Linked DNA regions of Sus scrofa. The protein of the gene in region 2 interacts with the protein of the main gene of each other region in a pairwise test. Links are inferred from orthologs where the notes say so. Each region holds a gene or a part of one and is shown on either strand. Other genes may lie near its edges.

Region 1 (4,828 bases), on a different chromosome or scaffold from region 2:
GGCGCGCTGCTTCTGCCGGGAGCTGTAGAGCTGCAGGCCCGCGGACAGTGCCAGGTGCAGCAGGGACAGCAGCCCCAGCAGCCTGTAGCCGGTGCGCACCCTGGGGTCCTCGGCAGGCGGGCGGCGCACGCGGAGCTGCCAAGGACGTGGAGGGACAGTCCCATGATCGGCTGCACAAAGCACCCACCGCCCCAGGGCCAGGCCTCCCGGGTGAATGAAGCCCTGGCCCACCCTCTGGCACAAGGAGGATGGAGAGGGACCACTGGCCTCTGGCTGCTCGGGGAGCAGACGCTCCTTGCCGGCTCTGAGCACTGAGTGGTGGCCCCGTTGGTCCCCCGGGGAGCCGAGTGCTGAGTGAGGATGAGAGCCCAGGGGTCAGACTCTGCAGGTCACACTGGCTGCAGGGAGGACCGCAGGGTGAGGGGGACGGCCAGGCACCCAGACCTCGGAGGCAAACGAGCCTGAGGAGCACACCCAGTGGACAGGCGCGGGCTCAGTGTTGCAGACACGGCTGCGTGGCCCTGTCCAAGGAACAGAGCGAGGCACCACCCGGCCCCTCCTGCAGCTGAGGACACTGAGGCCACATCCTCGAGGGGGAGGGGCCTGCCCTGCACGTCCATCTCCTTGCCTTGGCTGGAAGTGGGGACAGTCAGGTCAGCCACACAGCTGGAGCCTGGAGCCTGACACCCTGACTGGATGCACCCTGTGTCTGTTGCAGCAGCTCAGCAAACACCTCAACCAACAGAGCCGGCACAGCGAGGCCTGGGGCGGGGCGCCTGCAGACCCTTGGGGAGGCCTTCAGGGTGAATCTGGAAGCAAGGGCGGCAGCTGAGACCCCGAAGGGAAGGGGCATCTGCAGGTGGAGGGTGGAGACCGGTGGGGATGCTGGCAGCAGGGTGGCCTCGTGGTTGCTGCGGGGTCACCACCGGGGTCCCTATACCTGACTCTGGCGGGCAGCCTGGAAGGGGCGTGGGAGGCAGGCCTGGCACAGAGTTCAAGCGCAGGCTGCAGGAAGACAGACCAGCCCGACCTTCAGGGTTTATGGAAAGCAGACTTCCGTGGGCCTTTTGGCAAAATGGAGCCGACACAACCCATGTTTCCCATGGAAGGTTCTGGCTCCAGGCCTGTGACTGCTCGTGGACAGAGGCCCGGAAAAGCCAGCTCCCTGCTGATGAGCCAGAACCGAGCAGGTCCAGGTGGCACCAGTTACTTACATAGGTGATGCCAGTGAACCTCTTGGCCAGGTGGTAGAAGGCACCGTGGATGTAGAACCAGGCAACGTGGAGCCGCCGGAGGCAGCCAAGGACCTGCCTGAGCATCCCCGCGGCCTGCAGAAGCGCCCTCTGCTGCTGCTCCGTCAGGGTGGCCGTCCGCCTGCGCACCCAGCGCCTTGGGGCTGACTGGCTGCGTGCAGTGGGCGCCAGGCTGCCCTGCGTGGGCCGGGTGCTGTCGCCGGCCACCTGCAGCTCGTGCTCCAAGTGGAGCAGGGCCTTGTCCAGCACGTAGGGCAGGACGGTGTGCAGAGCCACCAGGATCCCGCGGCGCAGCCTGGAGGGCACTCGGCTCTGGGACGGGTCCACCTGGACGACGCTGACGTACTCTTCCCCAAGGGTCTGGTAGCCTGTGGGGGATGGGGACCTGGCAGCAATCTCCTTCCCTCTACCACGGCCGCCCCTCCTCTAAAAGACGAGGCTCCCTCAGGGCGGGCCCCCGGGGCCATGAGTTCAGCCACAGACACACAGTCCCGGGGCCTGCATGACAGGACTCTCAGTTTCCAGGGGCCCTGGCCTGGGTTTGGGCCTGGCCTCTCATCCAGGGAAGGGGCTCTGCTTCCCTGAGGCTGGTCTGGGCCAGGGACACCAGGAAGCACCTCCAGAAGCTCCTTCCTTGGCTGGCAGCCCCTCTCCTGTCCTCTGGGTGTGTCGTGGGTCCTTCGGTCCCGCCTGGGGCTGCTACCTGCAAGTGTGGTGAGGCCGAAGTAGGCTACATCCGACACCAGCTCGAGCTCTCTCCTCCACTCCAGCCACTTCTTCGCACCTGAGAGAAGAGAGAGCCTGTTACTGAGGGCCGGGGGGTGAGGCGGTGCGCTGGTGAGAATTAGAAACAGCTCTCTCTCCTGCTGCCAGGGCCCCGCCCAGTCCCCGCTCCAATGGCTGAGACTGGTCTAAACCACACTCTGTTCTCTCCCTGGCCTTCTGTGCTGTCCACTCTGCTCCATCCATACCTGCCTCACCTGGGCCGCTGAGTGTCCTGAGAACCTACCCACCAACAGCCCTCTCCCCCTCCAGGACCCACCTGGGCAACTGTTCCAGAGCCCAGAAGGGCCACAAGGACAGACGGGGTAGTACAGTGACCAGAAGCTCAAGCTGAGCCCACCGTCCAGCATCAAATCCTAGCTCCCCACAACAATGGCAGTGACCTCAGGCAAGTTACAACATTTCCCTGTCAGTAACAGGTCCTAACTTGCAGGGATGTGTTCAGAATAAAAGAAGTTAATGTTCTGAAGCACAGAGAACAGGGTCTGACACAAAGTAAGGCAAAAAATTAGCAAAAATAAATACACAAGTGGGTGCCTCCCTGCTGACGGCCACCCAAGTCCCGAATCTACGGTCCGGCCTCGCCTCGGCTGTTCCGAGTAGCAGCCCAGCTGTGGGCCAAAATCCACCCCAGGCTTTCGTCCGTCCACTGGGCTCCACTGCCGCTGCTCAACGGGGGCCTTCGTGTGTCCCCAGAGCCGTGGACGCTCCCACAGCTGGCGCCTGATCCCCACCCCGCCCCCGGCAGCCGGGGGCGAAGACCGAGGCGCTCGCTTCTTCCTGCAGCTCAGGTCTCAGCGCGGCGCGCAGGGCCTGGCCGAGCCCGCGGTGGCCGAGCCGACGGGTTTGGGGCTCGTCCGCCCGCCTGGCCCCCCAGCCTGGCGCCCAGGACCACCCGCGGGCCCCCCCAGAGGCCTCACCCGCCAGGCTGTGCAGGGCGTCGCCCGCCGCACTCCGCAGCCCGCCGCGGTAGTAGTCGTCCTTCTGCGCCGCACGGACCACCTCCGGGGGGCTGGCGGCCGTAAGAGCCATCGCCGAGGGCTTGGAGTCGAAGGGACCTGCGGCCTCGGCGACACGGAGACGGCCACGCCCACGCGGCGGCGCCAGATGACGGCCGGGGCTCGGGCTCGGCGTGGCGCGCGGCACAGACCTTGAGCGTCACAGCGCGCGGGGCGGGGCCGAGCCGGCGGGGCGGGGCGGGGCGGGGCGGGGCGGGGCGGGGCGGGGCGGGGCGGCAGAGGCCAAAGCCGAGCCCGCCCGGCTCTGTGCCGGGTCGGGTCTGTGCGGGGCGATCGCGGCCCGGGGGAGGGCAGGCGCAGAGCAGGAGGGGCGGATAGGCGGGGCATGGGGGCGAGGGGCCATGGGGACAGCCCTCAGGTATTGCGAGGAACGTCAGAGCCGGCGCGGGCGCCCTCCCCGGTGCGGAGACAGTCGTCCGCTCTCTGGGGCAGGAAGTGAGGAGGGCGTTGCTCCCTCTCCTTGCAGTGCCCTCCGCGGGGTGCTGGCATCCCTTGTGCTCTAATCCCTGCGACCACCCCCCGCCCCCCGCGGGCTGGCGGAATAGGATCTGGGGCCCAGGGCGGGGCCAGGAGTACGGATTCTTGAACTACGGTGTTTATACTGGTGGCCCCCCAGGCCCCACAAGTGCAGACCCCTGACCTCTCTGAGCTGCTCTCATAAGTGGGACCGAGGGAGACTTGGGGGCCTTGGGAGGCCATGCACTAGGGGGGACAGAGGTAGGAGAGACTAGCACCTGGGCACAGGCACAGCTGGATTTGAGCTGCAAGGAGGACCCAGGGAGGAGCCCCGGGGGAGGACAGTGGGAGGAGGAAGTGGGGCACCCTGAGGGCTCTGGGCCTGGAGCAGGTCACAACATCTGCATCTGTGCCCCAGACCAGAGGGGTCCCAGTGAAAAAGGGCCCCGTCCTGTGGGCACAAAGGGGGGGCTGTGGGACCAGCAGGAGAGAAAAAATGCAGGTGAACCTAGGGGGTGGGGGAGTCACCAGCAGTGACTTTGGCCAGCAGGCCGTGGCTTGAGACAGGCTGCAGCTCTTGGCTTCACTTCTGCTCCTGTATCCCGGCATCAGCTGTGGGTACGTGCCCAGGCTGGTGCAGCTCAACCCCCTGGAATTGAGCTGTGGGCACAGTCTAGAGCTTATCGGGGCCCCACAGCTGTAGGCAGCTCTTAGAGGGAAGGGGCAGAAGCTGGATGGTCCCACAGTCCTTCCTGCTAATGAAGCGCCTCTGTCCCTTCAGAGTGGCACCCCTGCCTGTGGGTACACCCTGTTTCCTGAACGCAGAGGCTGCCTGCTCCTTTGGCTTCCAGCCTGGGGTGGACAGACTCACAAGCGGGGCCTGGGGGAGACACTGATGCCTCAGAAATTTCTGGTCAGTCCTCACCCAACAGGCTGAAACACACTGCTCCTTCCTGACCACAGAGACGCCCTGGCCTGTGTCCACTGGCACCAAGTTGGAGCTGGAGTATTTTTTATTTTTTATTTTTATTTGTTGGTCTTTTTTAGGTCTACGCTTGTGGCATATGGAAATTCCTAGGCTAGGGATCTACTCGGAGCTACAGGTGCCGGCCTACACCACAGCTCACGAGACACGGGATCTGAGCTGCGTCTGTGACCTACACCACAGCTCACAGCAACGCCTGATCCTTCACCCATGGAGCAAGGCCAGGGATCATACCCTCATCCTCATGGCTACTAGTTGGCTTCGTTACTGCTGAGCCACGATGCGAACTCCCTGGAGGAGGTTTTGTCCCCTTTCTCAAGATCACCAGCTGG
Region 2 (4,843 bases):
TGGAAGTTCCCAGGCTAGGGGTCCAATTGGAGCTACAGCTGCAGGCCTACGCCAGAGCCACAGCAACAGGGGATCTGAGCTGTTTCTGCAATCTACACTGCAGCTCACGGCAACACCAGATCCTTAACCAGGGATCAAACCCATATCCTCATGGATCCTAGTCGTTAGGGTTCGTTAACTGCTGAGCATGCAGGGAACTCTCCAGGAATATATGTGAACTTGTAGGAGAACACACACTAACTAGAAACGGGATAGCACCATGGTTAAGAGCAGTCTTTAGAACTGTATTGATCTGGCTTGACTCTCAGCTCTGCTCCTTCTAGTTGTATGGCCTTGGCAAGGTACTTAACTGTTGGAACTTAGTTTCTTCAGGTGTTAAATGGTCCTAATGCATTTATTTCATTGAGTTGTGATGAGGATTGAGATATATACACATCTAGCACAGTTTCCTTTAGCGAGTGTGGACAAACATGTAGCCAGTATGAGGAAGGTTACCGGGATGACAGTCCTTGTTTTATGGACACAAGAATTTTTTTCTCTGATTTTATGAAATACCTCCACGTGGACTGAGAGAGGTGAGTTTCATAAAATTTGGATAAGCTTTTAGAATTTATCAATCAAAGATTTGGGGGAAATGTTAAGGTCTTACCTCCCAGCAGGTTGCTGCATCATGCTGGCTTCAGCTGGTTTGTGCTCCAGAGCTTGTATATCATGAACTGTAAGCCTCCCAAGGCGAACTCCAGCCAGACTCAGCAGTGGTGAGTGATGCTGAGCCTTTCCTAGGATGTACTGAAGCTGTTGTACTAGAAACCAGCCTTCCCAGGCCATGTTAACAAATGGGTAGGCTGCCAGGAAGGCTCTGTAAAATTGCTTCCAGCGGGAAGAAGGGGGATGGATGGAATATTCATCCTCTTCTCTCAGGCTGGAAACTAGCTTCTCCAGCTTCACTTTCAGATAGGGAAGAAGAACCAGGAACATAATTGACTTCCAGAGCTGCCTCTTTGGGAGACCAGCACTGGCCAATCTCTGAAGCTTCTGTGTGTCTCCCATTACAATCCTCTTTAAGCCATAAAAGTTTTCAGAAAACGAGGCACTGGTTTTAGACAGATAATGCTGCTGGAGCAAAAGATCCAGCACGGTAAAAATTTCATCAAACCATCTCCAAAAGAAGCCATAGTGGGCAGGATTTGATTCTGCAAGAACCTAAAGCAAAATAAATAAACGAAATTTAATTACACATATACTATGCCTTGTATTTATAATTCCTTTTTTTTCCCCTCTAAATTCTATTTTAAGCTTCCTTAAGTGCTGGGTATTGAGTACACACAACACTCAACACAAAACAGAGACCCGAGTAACAGTTAAATCATAGGATATGAATTATATGCAAACTGGTTATTTCAAAACTTAGGCCAACAGGAGTTCCTGTGCTGGCGCAGTGGTTAACGAATCCGACTAGGAACCATGAGGTTGCAGGTTCGATCCCTGGCCTTGCTCAGTGGTTAAGGATCCGGCATTGCCGTGAGCTGTGGTGTTGATCACAGACGCTGCTCGGAATCCTGCATTGCTGTGGCTGTGGCTAGGCCGGTGGCTACAGCTCTGATTAGACCCCTAGCCTGGGAACTTCCATGTGCCACGGGAATCAGCCCTAGAAAAGGCAAAAAGACAAAACAAAAAAAACTTAGGCCAACAAATACATTCAAAAATGTTGGTTTAGTTTTTACCCAGACATCTCTAAAACGTTTCAGGGAATTAAATCCTTACCTTGACCACATGCTGAAGAGCAGGTCTCACTGCTGTCATTAAACTTTCCTGGGCTACCACTTCAAAGATGGATGGCTGGTCATCCACTACAGAAGCAGTTGTGATGTGAGCCCCATGTTCAGCCATAGTTTCCTGTGTGCACTGGGTTTTGCTTTGCACACAAACTCCCTAGCAAGCATGAACTTTTGGGGAGTATCAGATGGTGTCAGTTTTGAAGATAACTTTCTGCAGGATACCCCCTTAATTTTACAAGAACTAGGCAAAAAAAGACCTTTTCCGGAGGCAGAGGGGAGGGGTTCTTGGGTGAAGGAGGTTAAGAACCAAGTTGACGCAGACGCGGGTGGCAGTGGCGAGTGGGAGGGGGTGACTTGATTAATGCTGCACCTCACAGGGTAGAGCGTGTGACAGAGGGGGACAGGTACGGGCGAAGGAGCGCTGAACTCTCGAGCCGCAGTCCTGGAAGCTGTCAATCATAGACTTCAATCTTAAAGGCTCCAAAAGCCAGGCGGCTCTGAGGGTCCGCTCGGTCAGGCTCAGTTGTGAGCAGTGCAGCCCCCCCGCCTGTTCCCGTCCTAGCGCGCTGACTCCTGCGAAGCGCCAGAGACCCGCGACACAGCGTTTGAAAGCAGGTCTCCGCTTTATGACAGAAGCCGCAACCGGAAATAGACCACGGGGCTTGGAGAAGGCTGGCGGAGGCGAGGCGAGGCGCTCTAGCCCGGAATGCGACCGCGAGACCGGAACTAGAGATCTCTATGGCCTCACTGGGACTTCCGCTTCCGCCTCCTGCTGAAAGTAAAGAAGGCGCTAGGGGTTTTGCTTGCAGAGCCGTTCTCCGCTGGTTGGTTTTACTTTTCCTAGTTGTTTTTGTTTTGCCGCCTCATGGGAAAGTTACGGTTCCGATCTCTCTCTGCAGAGTCTTTTTAGCAGGGTGTTGAGGGCGCCGCACCAACGTTTGGCGGCTGGAGCCAGAACTCAGCCCACAGAGGCGTTTGTTACCTGGGGCGATCGAGTTTAGGAGTCGAGGGACGCAAGGGAATGTGAAGATGGAAGGCTCTCGCTGTACTCGTGGCGAGGGTGGTGGTTCACCGTTTTCTGCTGCCTTAGGGGAGGATTTGAAGCGACATAATTGGAGATAGAAGCCTTAGCTTTATGGTCGCCAATTGCTATTTAAAGAAAAAAAAATGATTAGGATGAGAAGAGATCTTTTGTTACTCACAAGTTGGGACGAGTCTTCTAGATTAGGTTCTTTCAAGCATAACTGTAAGCACTTGGTACGCTAGTTCAAACTGGTTCCTACGCTCGTACACAGTCGACTGTGTTACCTTAGCGATATGAATATTGGGTACGAATCAGATGAATTCTAACTAGCGTGAACTGGGGAGGCTTGACAGAGAAGATAGTTTTCGTTGTTTGTATACCAGAAGGAATGTAATTAACCTTAGGATTTGCAACGTACTTTTACATCGTATGCAATTGCCTTGGTTGAGTTGCTGCTGCAGGTTTAATTTATATGAAGTTAGAGTTCATCTCCTTCTCTCTCCAACGCCCCCTCCCCCCCCCCAAATAACCAGAAATAGAAGGTGATTTGTTTTGTTTTGTTTTGTTTCAGGGTGGCACCCAGGGCACATAGAGATTCCCAGGCTAGTTGTTGAATTGGAGCCGTCGCCACTGGCCTACGTGGCAGCCACGCAACACCAGATCTGAGCTGCATTTTGGACCTACACCGCAGCTCAGGGCAACACCGGATCCTTAACCCACTGAGGAAGGCTAGGCATCAAATATGTGTCCTCATGGTTACTGGTCAGATTTGTTTCCGCGGAGCCACAATGGGAACTCCATAGGAGGTTATTAGTTACTGCCTTAGAGGACCTTATAAAGGTAGTTAATTGTTTCACAGAATGAGAATGGTGGAAAACAAAGTTTATTATCCAAAGAGGAGAAATAAAATCTTGCAAGTTAACCTTGATTTTAGTTCTACAAAGTGTTTTATATTCTGCTAAAACGCCTGCAGGAGAAAGTCACGTTAATGTAAGAGTTTTACCTTATAGAGGTTTTTTTTGTTTTTTGTTTTTTCTTTTTAGGGCTATACCAGTGGCATATAGAAATTCCCAGGCTAGGGGTCAAATCAGAACTACAGCTGCCAGCCTACACCACAGCCACAGCAACGTGGAATCCCAGCCATGTCTGTGACCTACACCACAGGTCATGGCAATGCCAGATCCCCGACCCTCTGAGCAAGGCCAGGGATGGAACCCACATCCTCATGGATACTAGTTGGATTCATTTCTGCTGTGACACAAGGGGAACACCTTACAGAGTTTTAAGGACTGGAGTAATGTATAAAGCACTTGGCATTAGATATGTGATCAAAGGTAGCTGTTACAAATGGGCTTTTCTTAAGTAACAGCAAAAAGACAAAGCTGAGAAATAGCATCAACTAAGATGAATGGGAAGTTAGTTAAACTTGTATCAGTTATGGTTTTTGGCTACAAGCAACAGAAAACAGCTAATTTAAACTAAAAAAATTATCGGAAGAATATGGAGTAGCTAACAAAATAAGGAAAGCCAACTCTGAAAGTACAGTAATTATACAGCCCTACTGGATGTTTCTCGCAAGAATTAGCAAAGTCTCATCTAGGCATCATTGTTGCCGTGAATGAGGTTCAACAAATTTCTTTCTGTCCCTGTACTTACAATTCAGATTCCTTGTGACCTACCTTGGTTCGGATTTCCTCACCACTCCCTGTTTCACTCTTAGACAAAAGATGGCAAGACAACTTAATAGCCCATTGAGACTATTCCAAAAATAAACTGACATTATCACATGAGAAAAGGGAAAGGCAGTTAAAAAAAAAAAAGTCAATTACTACAGCCAACAAAAAATAAACACCTAATCATAGATCCCACTCTTAGGTTTATGATGTAATAAATAAGACCCCAAAATTGATTGCATTTAAAGTTATTAAGAGTCATCAGGTTCAATATGGTGTGAATTTAATGGAAGAGATGATATCAGCTGGGAACAATGAGGCCATTCAAATTGGCTTAAACAGAAGGCCTATATTGGCCTATGTAACCA

Evidence for each region. The genes of interacting proteins can lie anywhere in the genome.
Region 1: the proteins of PEX12 (region 2) and PEX10 interact in a two-hybrid assay, tested with the Homo sapiens proteins (4 studies listed by BioGRID, with this or other methods). The link is inferred for Sus scrofa from reciprocal best matches to the Homo sapiens genes PEX12 and PEX10.

Annotation. Positions count from the first base shown.
Region 1 is NC_010448.4:64,314,502-64,319,329, forward strand, and holds the start of PEX10 (peroxisome biogenesis factor 10), read right to left. Parts: upstream 3,178-4,828; 5' UTR 3,069-3,177; coding exon 2,957-3,068; intron 2,038-2,956; coding exon 1,957-2,037; intron 1,622-1,956; coding exon 1,215-1,621; exon of another isoform or gene 136-1,214; coding exon 1-135.
Region 2 is NC_010454.4:39,930,200-39,935,042, reverse strand, and holds the start of PEX12 (peroxisome assembly protein 12), read right to left. Parts: upstream 3,364-4,843; 5' UTR 1,891-3,363; coding exon 1,765-1,890; intron 1,204-1,764; coding exon 650-1,203; intron 1-649. UniProt on the Homo sapiens protein: Component of a retrotranslocation channel required for peroxisome organization by mediating export of the PEX5 receptor from peroxisomes to the cytosol, thereby promoting PEX5 recycling.